Pelodiscus sinensis: one gene and its partner. The protein of the gene in region 1 interacts with the protein of each later gene in a biochemical or structural test. Links are inferred from orthologs where the notes say so. Each region holds a gene or a part of one and is shown in the gene's direction. Other genes may lie near its edges. The genes, in order: MATK and tyrosine-protein phosphatase non-receptor type substrate 1-like.

Region 1 (9,495 bases):
GTAAGAAAAAAATTGTGAACTCACCAGAAGTGCCCTCTGTGGGATTGGTGCTCAACTGGGAGCTGTCCTGAGAGGAGGGGATAGGCTCCAACATAAAAAAATGTGGCTCTTGCTGCTCTCTGGCTGGCCTTCTGCCATGGTTACCACGCTGTCCTCCATGCTGCTGCCAGGAGTGTCCTTGCCATACTCCACAGTCAGGCTTGGGAAACCGATCAGGTCCCCATCCCCACCCCCAGAATTGCATGCAGCTGAGCGTAGAAAGGGCATGTGTGCAGTGATGCCCTAGACCGTCCATTCGCCTCCTTTGTTTTATGATAGAACTGCCTGAGCTACTTTATTTTAACTCTGCATTTCTGGGCGTCCCTGGCGTATCTTTTCTCCACCATGGCCTTTGCGACTTTCACATAGCTAGCGACATTTCTTTGCTGGTTCAGAGCTCAAAGAGAATGGATTTCTCTCCCCACACCTCAATGAGATCCAAGCTCTCCTGCATACTCCATGCTGGCACTCTTCTGCATCCCTGGGAACTGGAGCTCATGAGACTTGAAGTCATGGCTACCCATGCTGCTCGGCCACACAGGAAATGAAATCAGACTTTCCCAGGGCTTTTCCAGTTCACAGAGAGCAGTTGAGGCAAAAGTTCTGGCCAGAGCAGTCAGAGCAGGGCATGGTGGGATGCTTCCCAGAGGCCAAGAACCTCAACTTTCTCCACGCTGGGTCTATTCTACCGTAAATTTAACCAGCAAGTTTGAGGACTGTTACTTCTCATGAAATAAGGAATACCCAACACTGACTTCAGCAGCCCTTACGGTTGACAAGACAAACCTGGTAGTGTGGACATACTGTTGAGAAAATCAACCTTATACAGCTACATTCATTGTAAACTTCTAATGTAGACCAGCCTGAGAGGGGACGTAACAGCTCTCAAGTACCTAAAAGAGTGTTACAAGGAAGAGGGAGAAAAATTATCCTCTTTAACATCTGAGGATAGGACAAGAAGCAAGAGGCTCAAATTGCAGCAAGGGAGGTTTAGGTTGGACATTAGGAAAATCTTCCTAATTGTCAGGGTGGTCAAACACTGGAATAAATTGCAAGAGGGGTTGTGAACTCTCCATCACTGAAGATTTTTAAGAGCAGATTAGAAAAACACCTGTCGGGGATGCGCTAGATGGTGCCTGGCACTGCCATGAGTACAGGGAACTGGACTTGTTGATCTCTTGTGGTCCCTTCCAGTTCAGTATTCTATGATTCTGTGGGGTAAGGAGGCCACAGCTGGGTGTGGGCACCACCCAGCTCCACCATGCAGCCCAGACCACAGTGGGAGCTGGCAGCTTTGCCCATGACTGGGTATGGTTCCACTCCTGACCCCAATCTTGACCCTGGGCTAGGAGAGGAGCTGCAGCCAGGCTGTGGTGGGGGCCAACTGCCGGGCATGGAGCCGAGTCTTAAGACGAAGCCAGGCAGGTGGATTGAGTCCCTGGCTAGGGATGGGGTGGAGCTGGGTGCTTGTTCTTCCTGCTTCCTATGAGACTGGCCCTACCGCAGTCCCGCAGAATGTTTGTGTGCCCGATGGTTTGAGGACCTCTCGACTAGCAAGTGATTACAAGTCCGGTAGGTGATTGGATAGATGGTAATTATCCCAAGCTCTCATCACTTCAACTTCACACTCAGATACTCATTAAACCTGGTTTGTACAAACTCCATTAAAAGTTTGGTTTGGGTTTTTAGCATTCAGCATTTTAATCTCAAAAGCAAATTCTTGGATTATGTTTTAACTAACTGGAAAATACTTGATCTGTTCACCATTAAATAGAACCCAGCTGTGCTTCCTGTTAAACGCACATTCAGTTGCTTTTTTCTTTGCACATCTGGGGAAAAGACCTATAATCTCAAATTAGAGTGATTTTTCTCTCCAAGCAAACAGGTCAATTGGAATTCCTACGAACAAAGGTTTTGGTTTATATTAGTCAGTCCTGGGGGACTCTGCAGTTTTACTCTGGCTCCAAATGCAGCAATTGCAGAATTCCCCCAGCACTAGAAATGGATGGATTGACTGCAGCTGATGATGCATTCCTTAGGATGAGCTAAGGTCCTGACCTCCAAGAAAACAGTGTGGTGATAATCTTGGGAGGAGTAGAATTATTGCTTTCCATGCCAAGGTGCTACAGAAATGCCATATTCAAGTTGCTGTCAGTCTGCAAGGCAGTTCAGGGAACAGTAGCAAACACAGAGGTTCTTCCCGTGCTTAGACCTTCTTTGGTTTGATTTGCATTCTGCTTTTTAGGCAGTTGTGACCTATCAGAGTTATTTTGCTAGCTGATTGGCATATCTTCTAGAAGATTTCCTTCAGTAACCAAGTAGCTCAGTGTTTTGTGTTAATGAGGAAATGAGTTTGCAGATTAGTTCATGTTTATGTGCTGGCTTAAGATGATAAGAGTGTAGGGAGAAGCAAGAGAAGAACTTCAAATTCTAAACACAGAGCATATCAAAGTCCAGAGTTCATCTGCCAATGTGATACAAGATGGTCAGCACGTATGAGACATCTGAGACAGCACTGTGCCAAAAAACTAGAGTACCCTGAGGGGTGCGTCCTGGTTCTCCTCTTCATGCCTTTGGTCATCTTTCTCATAATTCCCCTCCCCACACAGATTTTGAAGCAACTATTCACCTAGTGCTGAGGAGATGCCGTGGAAAAGCTAGTGGCTAAGCTGCTGGACAGGAGTTTCTTGCCCAACTCTTCTACTGACTTTTTGAGCAGTATTGGGTAAGTTTCTTAGTCTTTCTCTGCCTCAGTTTCCCAGCTGTAAAAGAAGGATAAAAGCTCTGCCTTTCTCTCTCAATTTTTGGCTACTTAAATCAAGGACAGTCTCTTGCTGTTTTAATACAATGCCTAGTGCAGTGAAGCTTTCAGCTCAGTTGCATCTTTTTGGTGCTAACATCATCAACAGTCCAGTGCAAAAGCGGCGAGGAGTCCTGTGGCACCCTAGAGACTAACTGAAGTGTTGGAGCATGAGCTTTCGTGGGCAAAGACCCACTTCATCAGAGGCATGCATCCGACACTTAGTCTAGAAGGTGCCACAGGACTCCTCGCCACTTTTGCAGATTCAGACTAACACAGCTCCCCCTCTGATACTGGAGTCCAGTGCAATGAGTCAGTTTGTGATTCATGGTGGGACTCTGAAGAGACATGGTGGAGTCTAAACTCTAATGAAGGTTGGTTTAGATTTGTGTGCAGTGTCCTATTTACTGTTGAAACAAAAAACAGGGCAATGTAGCACTTTAAAGACTAACAAGATGGTTTATTAGGTGATGAGCTTTCGTGGGCCAGACCCACTTCCTCAGATCAAATTGTGGAAGAAAATTTTGTTTCAGCTACACTAGACTAACGCGGCTACATTTCTATAACTAGTTACTGTTGTGCTTTGCTGAGAGCTAGGAAACTGCTTCCTTGCCCCTTTCATTCACTGCCACTTTCTTGCAATGAAAAGGCTGCAAAAACCCTTCCCAACTTTCTAACCCAATGGTAGCATGAATGCTGCACGTCGGACCAAATCCAAGTGCCTCTTCATGCTGAATTTGGTTTGTAAATCCTTGTAAAATCCATTCCAGTCATTTCCCCAGTGACATGTCGTAAGCCAGAGTGGAGAATATTCAGCAGATGCATTTACTGCAGCAGGTTGCTTGTTATCACACAGGGCGCTGCAAGTAGCAGGGGCTAGCTGCTCAGCTGGGGTGGATTGGTATTGCTCTGTTCCACCGACATCAGTGGATCTATGGCAGGACACAGGGTATTGTAACAGGAGTATCTTCATTTCAGGGATAATAGAAGGGGGAAGGTATTTAGGGATCCTGACCCAAAGGGGGTGCAAGCTGTGACGGCATATGGCTAATGCATTACACTTCTACAGCTCTCGTCATGTAAGGCTCTGTCTGTGCTGTGCAGTCATTAGTTGTGCCTCATGCTGTGCCTAGGAGGTAGGTCGGTATTCTTTCCCTTCACAGATGTTGGGGCACAAAAATGGAAGTGGTCACCGGGGATTGGGCTAGGGCATAGGCGTGCGCATGGGGTGAACCCAGGCACACCCTAATGTCTCCGGCCAGCTAGCGGCTGCTGGAGGAGGAGAGGGATTTGTGACGAGGCGCCGCAGCCCCTCACTTTAAATTCCCCACAGCCATCACCAGGGCACTGTGGAGCAGAGAGGGAGCATGCATGGCGTGCTCAAACGCCGCGCAAGAGGTAAGATGCCCGGGCGTGGCATGACGTCACGGCCTGGGACTTTCAAACCGTGTGGCCCAGCTCCAGAAGCAGCTGGGGCGGAGGCCCGAAAACACCAGCTGGCCTGAGCCATTTTTGCACCCCAGACCCGGCAGCACCGCCCTTTGTGTACCCAGGGGCACCCCCCCCAGCCTGGCAGCACCGCCCTGCGCCCTGGGGACGCCCCTGCCCAGCCTGGCAGCACCGCGCGGCCCCAGTGAGGCTCCCCGGAGGCACCCTGCCCGGCCCAGCAGCACCACGCAGTGCCCTGGGGACGCGCCCACCCAGCCCGGCAGCACCGCACGGCCCCACTGAGGCTCCCTGGAGGCGCCCTCGCCCCGCCCAGCAGCACCACGCGGCACCTTGGAGGCGCCCAGACTAGGGCCTGGCCAGCCTGTAGCTTGGGCCAGCTCAGACTCCAGCCCCAGGAATCAGAAGGCAGAAACCGAAGGTAAGGTAAGGAAGGGGAGGAGAAGGGGGGAAAATACGAGGAAGAGGTGGAAGAGGAAGGGGCAGGAGGGGAGGAGGGGGGACAGGGTGATGCTAGGAGAGGAGAGGGGCATTGAGGGTTAGAGCGAGGAGGGGGAGGTGCTGGGAAAAGGCTTGAAAGAAGGGGTGGGCATGAGAAGGGCGGGGATGGAGCAAGGCATGTGCGAGGGCACAGGGGCATGAGGGGAATGGGGGCAGAAGGAGGTGAGGGGGTGGGCATCAGGGAAAAAGGGGGCAGGGGCAGTGAGGGAAGGGGGAGGCACCAGGAGGGTTCAGGGCTAAGGGAAGGTGCAGGTGCCAGGGGATTCTGGGGGTGAAGCAGAAGGGCAGACACCTGCAGGGGAGGGACCAGCACCAGGGGAGAGAGGCAGGGGAGGTGTTAGGAGGGGGGATGAGGAGGGGTAGCTCACATGATCAGAGTGGGGCTACTGGAGGAGTGGGCACAGGGGAGAGAAGGGCTGGTGGAGGAGGGCAGGTCACACACATTGGGGTAATGCAACTGCAGATAGTTGGGGGGGGAGGCAAACTAATCCCTATTGGTAGGAGGATGGTGGGAAAAGTCCTTAGGGGGGGGTCACATGACACCATTTACTTCTGGCCATGTGTCCATCTTGCCCCCAGAGTGTTACCTCCAGAGCTGTGGCCCATGGGGGTCGGGCGTGGTTAACTGGGGTCAGGGTTGTGGCTAATGGGAGTCAGGGGGTGTGGCCCATGGGGGTCGGGCGTGGTTAACTGGGGTCAGGGTTGTGGCTAATGGGAGTCAAAGTAAATTTTTAAAAAATTCTTTGGGGCACACCCTAATGAGATGTGCTGCGCACACCTATGGGCTAGGGCCAGAACATTTTCCTTCCAAAATGTTCAAAATCTCCCCTGCCACACGGTAATTCTCGTTTTGTCACTTGCTGAGCACAATGTCTGGGACGTTTGTGTGGGCACCACCACAAAACAGGGAGTAGCAGAACAATAACTCACTGTTTCATATCAGCTGATTGTTAGTTTGCTTGGGTGTCACAAACTGCTGCATGGTTTCAAATCAGACAGCTGCTGATACTTCCTCTGTTGGGATGTGAACTTGTGCAGCAAGGGGGCTAAAGTCACCTCGGGGTAAAGCGTCATCGAAGACTGAATCATCTCTGGTTAAAACTGGCTGCATAAAAGCAGGCACTAGGACCTCCAAGGCACTGCCTCTGCAGCCCAGCCTCAAAGAGAAATCAGGAAATAAAGCGGAGAGGAGTTTCTCAGAGTGGCTGTTCTGTGAACACGGCTGCGCAGGAGGTAAAGTTCTGCTCCATCATTTGAACTGGGAATTTATTCTACAAGTTCTTGCGACTCAGGTCTGGGCTTGGCTTGGCAGTGAGCAAACCTGCAACGACTTTGGTGCCAAGGGCTTTGCATGGGTGCTGCAGGAAGGTAAGCACAGGGTCTGGCTAGGGCAGTAGCCGCGGCTGGGTAATACGTTTACCTTCTCCCCTCCAGGAGGCCAGAAGCGCTGGGGACCTTCAAAGTGCTACACTCAGCGGGATAAACAGCAGTGTCCTCCCCTTGGTGCTGCAAGACAATAAGCTGCCCTCTGTCTCAGCGGGTGCTTGTGCTCAGGGAGCCGTCTGACCCCATGTGGTGGGTAGATGGGAGGGGGGCAGTGTGTGCGGCACCGCCAGTCTGCTGTCTGACACCGAGCTGTGGGTAGGTTTCCTGTAACCTGTCTGCACAGTTGCCAGCTCTTCCACTGCTGTTTGCACTGATGCAGACACTTGTCCAGTGCACTTGTGCCAGGCAGGACTACGCAGTGAACGGGCTGGGCTGTATGTTTCGATATCTCCAGGAGCATGTCAGAGACCTGCAATTGCACAGGCTACAGCAATCAAAAGTGGTTCCAAAGGGGTGGAACAGTTCAGGACTGGGAGGGGCAACCTAGCCTAGTGGGGGAGCTGCACGAGCGGCCCTCCTTCATCTCAGTGGACTGTAAGTTTGTGGGCGCCAGGGCAGTCTCCTGGGATGGGGTAGCTCCGCTCACTGCAGGATGGAGCGACTGAGCCGTGGCAGCATTGTGATTGGATGCGGGGGAGCGCGCAGCTCTCACAGTCAGCGCCCTCCTCACTTCACACGCCCTGGCTTTATGTGCGGGTCACGTCGGTAGGAAAAATCGATGTGGATGAAAATCAGCAGAATCTGGCAATGGCAGCACTATCTCACGAGCCACACACACAACCCTGGCCGGCTGCAGGTTGCCCACCGCTGGGTCGGGGCTAGCGTTTCCTGTCCCCTAGGCCCGACAGATCGGGACTGCCGGTCATGAGAGGCATTGGACAGGAGCTTCTCATCTGGATGGATCTTCAGTTATTTGTGCATGAGGTTTCCACCGGTAGGGCCCATGAATCTCAGCAGTGGGATCCATGCAGACAAAGCGTCTCACAGACCCGCGCCTACTGTCAGGCCTTTCCCACCGCTTGGGAACGGCAAGGGACCAAAACAACCAACTTTAACCCTCCCAAGATGCCGGGTGCTGACTCCTGTGAATGAGCTTGGTAGACCAGGCACTTGCATCATCAAAACTGCCACCGTGAGGTCGTGAACCCCCCTCTTAACCTAGCAATGGCTGCATTGAGCCAGTCTCACAAGAGGCTGGGTCGGGTGCAGAAACTTGCCCTCTGGTTTGTTCTTCCCAGGGCTGGCCAGCAGCCAACTTCCTTCAGCATGACAATCACTGGAAACCTGTAAGCCCAGCTACCCCGACCCCCGCCAGTGCAGGACTGATCACTCCTAGCTGAGCCAGAAGTGCTCTCCCTTTGGTAGGTAGGAGCCAGTAGAGAGCATCGTTGTCCTCTTCCTGTGCGTGATGCTTCAACGCTTTCTCAGTGCTATAGCAAGACCTGCTGTTCCGATCTGCCTGCTGCCTCTGGCTCAGCAGAGCAACATTCACACCTGAGCTTTCAGCAAGCCTCCTCCAGGGAAGCGTGGTCAGAGATAACAGCGTCCAGTGGTCAGGTTCCACCTGACAGGCTGGTTTGGTCAGCCTCATGGGTGTGTTTTGTGCCTCGTTCAGTAGGCTTTGCTTCCGCTTCATCTCCTGTGATGGTGGTAACAGGCTCCCTTCCTTGACCATGACTTTGGTTTGATTGTAGTGAGGTAGGTGAATGGAAAAAAGAAAAAACCCACAATTGATTTGCCCTCTCCTGAATGCTTGTGAATTGAAGAACATCAGAAAAACGTAAGACTGGCCAGACTGATTCAGATCAGTGGCTCATCTCGCCCCATATCCTGTCTTCCCCCAGTATTCGGTGCCAGATGCTTCAGAGAAAATGAACAGAACAGGGTCATCAACAAATCATCCAGGCCAGCTTCTGGCAGTCAGAGGCTCAGGAACATGGGGTCAGTCCCTGACCATCTAGGGACCATCTCCATGAATAGACCTATTCTCCAGTAACTTTTCCTTTTTTGAATCCAGTTAAACTTTAGGCCTTTACAATATCTTTTGACAATGAGTTGCCCTGATTGTGTGTGGTGTGAAGTACTCCTTTTGTTTGTTTTAAACCTGAGGTCTCTTAATGTCATTGGGTGACCCCCTAGTTCTTATGTTGTGAAAAGGGAGAACTAGCGTTTCCTTAGTCACATTCTCCACACCATTCATCATTTGATAGACCGCTATCAGATATCCCTTTAGTCATCTCTTTTCCAAGATGACCAGACTTATTCTCCTCTTATGGCAGCTGTTTCAAATATTCTTTATTACCATCTCTGTACTTTTTCCATTTTAATAGATCTTTTTTGAGATGGGGTGACCAGAACTGCACACAGTATGCAAGATGTGGACTTACCATAGATGTATACAATGGCATTATGATTCTTTCTTTCTTTCTTCTTATCCATCCCTTTCCTTGTTATTCCCAACATTGTTAGCTTTTTGACTGCTGCTATACATTGAGTAAAAGGTTTCATGGGATTTCAAGATCTCTTTCTGCAGTGGTAACAACCAATTTAGCCCCCAGAATTTTGTATGTGGATCATGTTTTCCAATGTGCATTACTTGCATTTATCAAGATTGGGTATCACCTGCCATTTTATTGTCCAGACTCCTGGTTCAGAAAGATCCCTTTGCAGCCAGCTTTGGACTTAAGTATCTTGAGTATCATCTGCAAACTTTGCCACCTCACTGTTTACCACTTTTTCCAGGTCATTTATGAAGATTTTGAACAGCACTGGTCCCAATACAGCTCGTTGGGACTCGACAATCTATCTTTTTATAAACCAATATGTATTCCTACCCTTTGTTTCCTGTCTTTTAACCAGATACCAGTCCATGAGAGGCCCTTCCCTCTTATCACAATATCGCTTCCGTTGCTTAAGGGCTTTTGGGAAGGGCTTTCTGAAATTCCAAGGTGGCAAGTGCTGGCATATTAGTTATGAATATTAAAAAAATTGCTTGAGCCCCAGCACTGAATTCACTGGATCATCCTTGTCCATATGCTTTCTGGCCCCTCTCAGAGAATTCTAGCAGATGGGATGGTGAGACATGATTGTCCTTTGCAAAAGCCGTATTAACCCCTTCCCGTCATGATGGGTTCATTGATGTATCTGGTAATTCTGCTCTTTATCACATTTCAACCAATTTGCCTGGTATTTAAGTTAGACTTTCTGATTTGTAATTGCCAGGATCACCTCTGGAAATTTTTTTAAAAATTGGCATGTTAGCTATCTGCTGGTCACCTGGTCCAAAAGCCGATGTAAGTGATAGGTTACCTATAAGAGTCAGT
Region 2 (8,672 bases), on another chromosome or scaffold:
TTTTCACCTAGGACAGCGATTGGTTCCGCTGGAATAACACTGATCACACATATTTGTATAATTAAGGTAGCACCCAGTCATTAATCAGGTGTGAAGAGTTTCACGGGGCTGCACAGGCACCGGAAAACATGTTCCCTATTTTCAAGAGCATGCAAATTAAATTCAGACCAGATGCAACCCGTGGGTGTAGCAAACAACAGGCCAGAGAGAGGGGTTGCGGTGGTAAGAACATGAAGTCATAATATGCATGGCTTGGGGGGTTCCAAATCACTTGAGACCGCTTTGTTTTTTGTTTACAGCTCGATACTAATCAAGAGAGTAAATGCGGCACTCTCTCATCCTCCCAAGGGGGAGTGTTACGGTTAATGGGGGCGGAGGGAGGCTGCAAGCCAGGCTCTTGGAAGAATTACAGCAAACTTCTCCAGAACTTTGGAATTAGTCTTGATCTAGACAGCACTCATGGAGCAAGGTCTGCAGCCACTCTCTAGCTGAAATCTAGCATGGGACAGTCGCTAGCTGGGATTTGTGTTCAGTGTGAGCATAAGAATATTTGGTCTCTCTGGCCCTAATCAAGGATTTTTTTTCAGACAAGCAGCTAAGACAGCTGCAAAGACTCCCCCAAATATTTGCCTCTCCCCAGCTTTGATTCCCTATGACTGCTGTGCTGTGCATTCATATTGCTTGCTGGATAGGTTCAGGTACAGCAGTGAATTCCTGCAGGGCCTGCTGGGCAGACACAGCCTTACATCGCCATCTGTTCTGACCCAAATCGGTCGCAAATGACAACTGTGACCAGTGTTCCTTATAAGTGCTTGGGCAGCCACCCGGGGGACATTCCAATGCCACCCTGCTAATTAGCAGAGCACGCACAGCTGCACGCAGCCAGCAGCGTGTCCTTCTAATGGTGGTGCACATCTGCCCATGCCTCAGTGCACATCACAAAATGTATTCTGCACATGAGTGGAAAAAAGCTTCGGAGGGGGAGCCGAGTTAGCCTGTAGCTGGGAAAACTTTAAGAAGTTGGGGTGGAAAAGGAGGAAACACTGCAGCTAACCATTGTTAAAGGAACTTCAGGGGGTAGCCGAGTTAATCTGTTACAGAAAAAAGCAACAAATGGTCTGGTAGCACTTTATAGACTAACAAAAACATGTCTGTAGATGGTATGCCCATTGTTAAAGGAGTTAATCATTGCTCATTTCCAGGTAGGCACGCCCAGGCCACAACTGGCCCCTTGTTTTCCAAGTGCAGAGAGAAAGCCAAGATCTGAACAGTGGAGACTGTTTGCCTCCCTCCACTCCGGAGGGTCTCTCGGAAGCGCGGTAGCATAGCAATGCCATGCTTGTGGGCCTGGAATCCCGCAGGACACGCATCACTGGGGGTGTGGTGACACTGCAAGAAAAGCCCCGTGATGTGGCTGCCATTGGCCCAGGTCAGCTGATTTGGGCTCTCCAGGCTGGGACAGCAGGGCTATGACACTGCAGTGTAGATATTCAGGGTCTGACACCCCAAAGCGGGTGGGGCTAAGAGCCACATGTCCACACTATGTTTAGCCCCATAGCCCGAGCCTGAATCAGCTGACCTAGCCGCTGGGACTCATCCCCATGGGTTTTTATGGCAGTGTAGACATACCCTGAAACACACTGCACGGTGAGAAGAGCAAACCAGACTCTGCCTTCTCCCTTCCCTTTCTTCCTCTGCCCTGTTCTTCCGCCGCTTTTCACCCGCCCAGCGCCTCCATCTTCCTCCCCCCTTCTCTCCCTCGCCACCTGGGGCTTTTGTTCCCTTGGTGGGCAATGTTCCTCGCCGGCCTGTGACAAACGGCACGTCGCAGGGTGCTCAGCTGGGAAGCTGTTCATCGTTCCCTCTCACACAAAGCTCTTCTCATCGCCACACCAGGGAGGGACCTGGTACCACTTGGCAACCAAACGCCTCTGAATGCCCTGGCTGGAAGGGTTCCCGCTTAGCTCCAGAGGCGTCAGAGGGGCGGGCAGTGTGGCTGGAGGTGTCTGAGGGGAGATGGAGACCTATCACCGGGGGGGAAGGATGGGGTGCCGGGGATTTGTCTGCTGCGGGTGGGTGTGTCTGAGAGTGGGGTCAGCGCCATCGGGGCAGGGATTCTTCCTCTCCCCTCAGAATTTAACAAGAGGCTGCCGGTGGCGGGGGGCTCTCTCCAGTAGGCTGCAAAGAGACTCCCCCTCCCTCCACCACAACTCCTCCATTCTCACCCCATTTGTTCCCAGCCCCCCACATCTTCCTACCCTTCTCGCTAAGGCAGTGCCAACCACTTCTAATAACTGACTATTAAATGTGTATTATGGTAGCACCTGAGCGTCCCCGTCCGGGCAGGACACCATTGTGCTAGCGACGAGGAGTCCTGTGGCACCTTATCGACTAACAGGTTTACTGGTGCATAAGCTTTCATGGGCAAAGACCCACTTCATCAGATGCATCTAGTGGAAATTCCAGAGGCAGGTATATATATATACAGGCATAAGAAAAGAGTAGCAATCAAGAGTTAGGCTAGAGATAACGAGGTCAATTCAGTCAGGGAGGATGAGGCCCACTTCTAGCCGCTGATGTGGAGGTGTGAAAACCAAGAGAGGAGAAACTTCTTTTGTAGTTGGCTAGCCTTTCACAGTCTGGCTGCGCCTAGATTGGCATGATCTTCTGGAAATGCTTTTAATGGAAAAGTTTTCCGTTAAAAGCATTTTCGGAACAGAGCGTCTAGATTGGCAAGGACACTTTTCGGCAAAAACACTTTTGCGGCAAAAGCACCATTTTCGCGATCGGGGCTTTTTTGCGGAAACAAATCTGAGCTGTCTACACTGGCCCTTTTGTGCAAAAGCTTTGCCTGAACGGGAGCAGAATACTATTTCCGCAAGAAGCACTGATTTCTTACAGTAGGAAGTCAGTGCTTTTGCGGAAATTCAAGTGGCCAGTGTAGACAGCTGGCAAGTTTTTCCGGAAAAGCGGCTGATTTTCCGGAAAAACTGACTAGTCTAGACACATCCTCTTTGTTTAATCCTTTGTTTAATCTACACAAGAGAGCCACTTCCTGGACACTACGGTGCAAATAAATGATGGTCACATAAAGACCACCCTACAACGAAAACCTACTGACCTCTATGCCTACCTCCATGCCTCCAGCTTCCATCCCGGACACACCACACGATCCATTGTCTACTACAGCCAAGCACTAAGGTACAATTGCATTTGCTCCAATCCCTCAGACAGAGACAAACACCTACAAGATCTTCACCAAGAATTCTTGAAACTACAATACCTGACTGAGGAAGTGAGGAAACAGATTAACAGAGCCGAGATGTGTACCCAGAGGCCGCCTACTACAAGACAAGCCCAACAAAGAAACAAACAGAACACCACTGGCCATCACCTACAGTCCTCAGCTAAAACCTCTCCAATGCATCATCAGTGATCTACAACCCATCCTGGACAATGATCCCTCACTTTCACAGGCTTTGGGAGGCAGGCCAGTCCTCGCCCACAGACAACCTGCCAACCTAAAGCAAATTCTCACCAGCAACTATACAGCACACCACAGTAACTCTAACTCAGGAATGAATCCCTGCAACAAACCTCGGTGCCAACTCTGCCCACATATCTACACCAGCGACACCATCACAGGAGCTAATCAGATCAGCCACACCATCAAGTGTTCATTTACCTGCACATCTACCAATGTGATCTATGCCATCATGTGCCAGCAATGCCCCTCTGCTATATACATTAGCCAAACTGGACAGTCGCTACGTAAAAGAATAAATGGACACAAATCAGATATTAGGAATGGCAATATACAAAAACCTGTAGGGGAACACTTCAATCTCCCTGGACACACAGTAGCAGATTTAAAAGTAGCCATCCTGCAACAAAAAAACTTCAAGAACAGACTTAAAAGAGAAACTGCTGAGCTACAGTTCATCTGCAAATTTGATACCATCCATTTAGGATTAAACAAAGACTGTGAAAGGCTAGCCAACTACAAAAGCAGTTTCTCCTCTCTTGGTTTTCCACACCTCCACATCAGCAGCTAAAAAAGTGGGCCTTATCTTCCCTGACTGAATTGACCTCGTTATCTCCAGCCTTACTCTTGATCCTACTCTTTTCTTATGCCTGTGTATTTATACTTGCCTCTGGAATTTCCACTACATGCATCTGACAAGTGGGTCTTTGCCCACGAAAGCTTATGTGCCAATAAATCTGTTAATCTATAAAGTGCCACAGGATTTCTCATGGCTTTTGCAGATTTAGACTAACAAGGCTACCCCTTGGATACATTGAGCTACCCCTTGGATACATTGAGCTACCCCTTGGATACATTGTGATAGGTGCTGCACAGACACAGAACAAGCCAGGCCCTGCCCCACAGCACTTCCATGCTGCCCACTGACATCTCTGAGCCCCTTCCTCAAGAATGTGATTCCACCTGCTTGTCCTCCTGAGGGGCAGGGCAGGGCTGCCACCCCCAGTGCACGGAGGGGGAATCGAGGCACGCAGGGAAGCTGTGGTACGACAGGGACTCGCGCCCCCCGTCTACCAAGTTGCAGACTGGAGCTCTAACCACTGGGAAGCCCATCCCCTCACTCCCTCTGCTTCCCGCCCTCCTTCCTCAGCCTTTCCCCAGGCTCGGGGCAGACCAGGGCTCCCCTGGCGGAGGAAGTGACAGCAGCGGGCAAAGCCAAAGGGCGACGCCGGGGGCACGCGGTTCGCTCCGCGCCCTCCCCAGAAGCAGCTGCCAGGCGCGGGGGAGGGAACTCGCCCGGCCCACCTTAAGCCGGCAACGCGGGGCTGCTCCGGGATGACCGTAGCGCAGCAGGGGGGTGTGGAGCCCGGCCCGGGGCTGCACCCGCCCGGCGAGCGACCTTAAATCGGGGCGGCCCGGGGGGGCTGTTCCTGCGCCCGGGTACGTGCCTGGAAGCCGCCTCCTCCGTGCTAGGCAACCGGGGGGGCTGCCAGCGCCAGGAACCGGAGCGGGAGCCCGCGCCGCGGCCACACACCCGCCGCAGGGGCCGGGCTGCAGCGGGCGGGCCGGCGAGCGACGCCCGGTCCCCCGAGCCGGCTGCCCAGGTGGGGGGCGCGACGCCTCCTCCTCCTCCTCCTCCGGGGGGCGGCCCTGAGCCCGAGCGGAGCCGGCCCCTTCATGCGACTCTTCCTCCTTTCTGTCCCCGCCAGCCGCCCGCCATGGAGCCCGGCGCCCGCCGCGCCCGCGCCCCGGCCCGGGGGCTCACCTGCCTGCTGCTCCTCGGCCTGCTCGCCTGGCCCGGTAAGTGATGCTGCTCCCGGTGGGCAGGCTGGCGTGAGCCCCCCCCCCCGGGCTCTTCCCTGCTCCCCCCGGCTCTTCCCTGACCCCCGGGAGTGTCTGCCCCACGGCTCTTCCCTGCCCCCCCCCGGCTCTTCCGTGCCCCCCGGAGTATCTTCCCCCCGGGGAGTGTCTGCCCCCCGGCTCTTCCCTGCCCCCCCCGGCTCTTCCCTGACCCCCGGGAGTGTCTGCCCCCCGGCTCTTCCCTGCCCCCCCCCCGGCTCTTCCGTGCCCCCCGGAGTATCTTCCCCCCGGGGAGTGTTTGCCCCCTGGCTCTTCCCTGCCCTCAGTAGTGTCTGCCCCCCGGCTCTTCCCTGCCCCCCCCGGGAGTGTCTGCCCCCCGGCTCTTCCCTGCCCCCCCCGGGAGTGTCTGCCCCCCGGCTCTTCCCTGCCCCCCCCCCGGGAGTGTCTGCTCCCCGACTCTTCCCTGCCCCCCCGGGAGTGTCTGGCGCCCCCCCCCCCCAGCAAGCTTGTCTGTTGATCTTTAGCTGCCGCAGCGCCCTAGCCGGGGAGGGGGCACATTAAAGACGGGGGGGGGCTGTAACTGGGCTGCTGTGGGAGTAACCTGGGCGCTTCTCCCCTGGGTCCACGGGGGTCTGGCTTGCGCTGTGTAATGTGCGTGGTGGTGGGGGGGGGAGGAGTTGATTTTTCTGTAATCTAGAGATTGTGCCACCAGGTAAACACCCCCTGGTCTGGTGAAAACCGGGCACTGGGGGTTCAACTGGGCAGGCTTAGAACTGGCCCCTTGCTGGGATAGCTATAGGCAGCTAGTGCTTGAGGTGAGAGGGGTGCAGGGAGGGGGCACCCCATTTAGCAGTGAGAATTTTGGTGGAGGGCACTGGGATGCTACCACGAGTCACTGGTGCATATGGCTGCTGCGATCTGCAGGCTGGGTGAATTGGTCAAAATGGCACAAATCTGCCACTCGGACTGTGTTTTTTACACACCAACCGGCAGCCGCGAGGGCACGTATACGCAGGACGTGGCTCCTGGTTAACTCCACGTGTGGATAGTCTTAGTCCAGAATAAGAGAATTCACATGGGGAATTATTCGGGAATGTCTTTAAATACATCCTATCATATTCCAAACTGATTTTCATGAGCCCTTTCAGGAAGCTGTAAAACAGGCACCGCTGTCATTGTCTGATTTCTTACACAGTCCTGCTAGTTGCTTTTTGCGAGCCGTACCCTCCTTTTTGCAGCTCAGAGTGTGCAAATCTCACTCACTTTGCACAATCACTGAATGCCCAGTCAGCGCAACTTTCACCACTTTGCATCCGTTTTCTGGCTCTAGTAATCCACCATGAAGTTTGTATCATAAGGGGAATTGCACTCACTGACTTGAAGCTGAGTTTGACCCGGTCTAGGCTAGGTACCCTCTTGCGGCGCAGCTGTGCTGCTGTACAGCTTCCTATGTAGCCATTGTATGTTGATAGGAGAGAGCTCTTCAGCCACTCCAATTAAACGACCCTCAAGGTGCGGTTGTAGCTATGTTGGCAGAATGAGCTTTCCCACCAACATAGCACTGTCCACACCGGCACTTTTGGCAGCAAAACTTATGGCAGTTGGGGTGTGGGGTTTTTTTTCACACCCTGACAGATTAAAAAATTGCCAGCAAAAGTGTATAGAGCCCTGCAATTTGTATTCGTGGGCATCCGCACCTGTGGCTGCAGACATCCGTGGCGCGTTTTTATGGATATGGTTGCGGATACAATTTTTTTTCTCTAGAATGGTGCAAATTTGCAGATAGCCACTTTATAGCCACTCCACACCCGCAGAGGGGGTTGCAGATATCCCTGGACCATTTTTGCAGATGTGAGCACAAGTTTTGTATCCGTGTAGGGCTCTGCTAGTGTAGACAAAGCCTAATCTAGGCACTTGTACTGTGCCTGGCTCACAATACTGACTCTGTCAGATGATTTGTTTAATGCTCACAAAAGACTTTTGAGCTCCGTGGACGGCGCTATCATGGTGCATTTCTTTACTCAATTTGTTTATTTCTCCTGCCTTTTGCACTTCCCTCTTTTCACTCCCTTCCCTCCATCAGTGTCAGTAAAAACTTCCCTCCTCCACCAAGAATAGAACCGTGTAGTTACTGTTGCATTTCGATGGTGCTTCGCTTGCAGCTGAAATGCTGTAATTTTATCTGTATCTCTCAGCATTAAAAACAACAAGGAGTCTGCCGACACCTTCAAAACTCACAATTTTATCATGGCAGAAGCTTGAATTGCAACTCACTCCTTAACCCGGCTCCCTCTCTGACAGCTCTGAGCAGTTAGTTAATCCACCACGGAAGGCCACTTGTGTGACCGAAATCAAGGCCTGGCTTTCTTAGGAAGCCTTTGTATGCTGGAGTAGCGAGCCCACACTAATGTCCAGCCACCTCTAATGCCAGTCCATGAGCCAGGCAATGTCATTGATCATGACTCAAAGGAGACAGTGAGAGAACCTCTCTCTAGTCTGTCAGCGAGAGGATTCTGTGCAAACTTTTCAGGGAGGGGTTCTTTCAACGGTGTCTGTCCATTTTCATACACTTGAATGCACTAGTCTGTGGCCACTGCTCAGTCAAAGGTAGACAGGTTCCCGGGAGAGCTGCCACGAGGTTTCTGAGTGGGTGGGGGGAAAAGACACAACCCAGAATATTTCTTTCCTGCCAAAAAGTGACACCAGCTGCTTGCTAGTAAAGCTGCCCTCAAACTAGAAATTTGCCAAATCAAGGCCACTACTGCCCTTCACCTCCCCAACAACAATTTTCCCGAACCGGGCTGCTTTCTCTGGATCCCATTTATCTAAGCATAAGAGATTCAAATCCACATTTCTGTGGTTCTGCCAGTGCTGTGGAGAAGGGAGTGGGGGAGAATCACAAGTAAGAATTATTGAAGTGAAGAACATTGCCCTCATGAACTACACATGCTTTCTGCTCATACCACTCCTGTGAAATACACCCTTCCTGCAACCCTGCAATCCTGTCTGGGGCCCCATATAGCCCTGTGTAAATATATCTCTAGCTTTCTTTTCCTTTTTCTGACTTGCAAATGCCAGGCTCATTTATAGCAAGCACCTGCTAATTTTCTTAGCTGTGTAGCCTCATTGCAGAGGGAAATTTTAAGCATTGTAGCAGGGAATTATTTTTGGGCTCTTTCTCTAGTTGAAATTATCTCTTTCTAGTGACAGTGACACAGACTGCAAATATTCCAGCCAGCTGTGCATTTCTTTACTAGCGTGAGGTCCTTTCTCTTAGCAACACTCACAGTGCTGCTTCCAGTGTTGCTTTAAATTGCTTTTGAAGAAAAGCTATTTTTATGGCCCAGAATTTAGACAGTCGCTGCAGCTCTCCAGCAATTAAAGCTTA

The links.
Region 2: the proteins of MATK (region 1) and tyrosine-protein phosphatase non-receptor type substrate 1-like form a complex in vitro, tested with the Homo sapiens proteins (3 studies listed by BioGRID, with this or other methods). The link is inferred for Pelodiscus sinensis from reciprocal best matches to the Homo sapiens genes MATK and SIRPA.

Annotation. Positions count from the first base shown.
Region 1 is NC_134729.1:30,052,969-30,062,463, reverse strand, and holds the start of MATK (megakaryocyte-associated tyrosine-protein kinase), read left to right. Parts: upstream 1-5,528; 5' UTR 5,529-9,495.
Region 2 is NC_134728.1:2,957,106-2,965,777, forward strand, and holds the start of tyrosine-protein phosphatase non-receptor type substrate 1-like, read left to right. Parts: upstream 1-4,647; 5' UTR 4,648-5,088; intron 5,089-5,193; 5' UTR 5,194-5,202; coding exon 5,203-5,284; intron 5,285-8,672. UniProt on the Homo sapiens protein: Immunoglobulin-like cell surface receptor for CD47. Acts as docking protein and induces translocation of PTPN6, PTPN11 and other binding partners from the cytosol to the plasma membrane.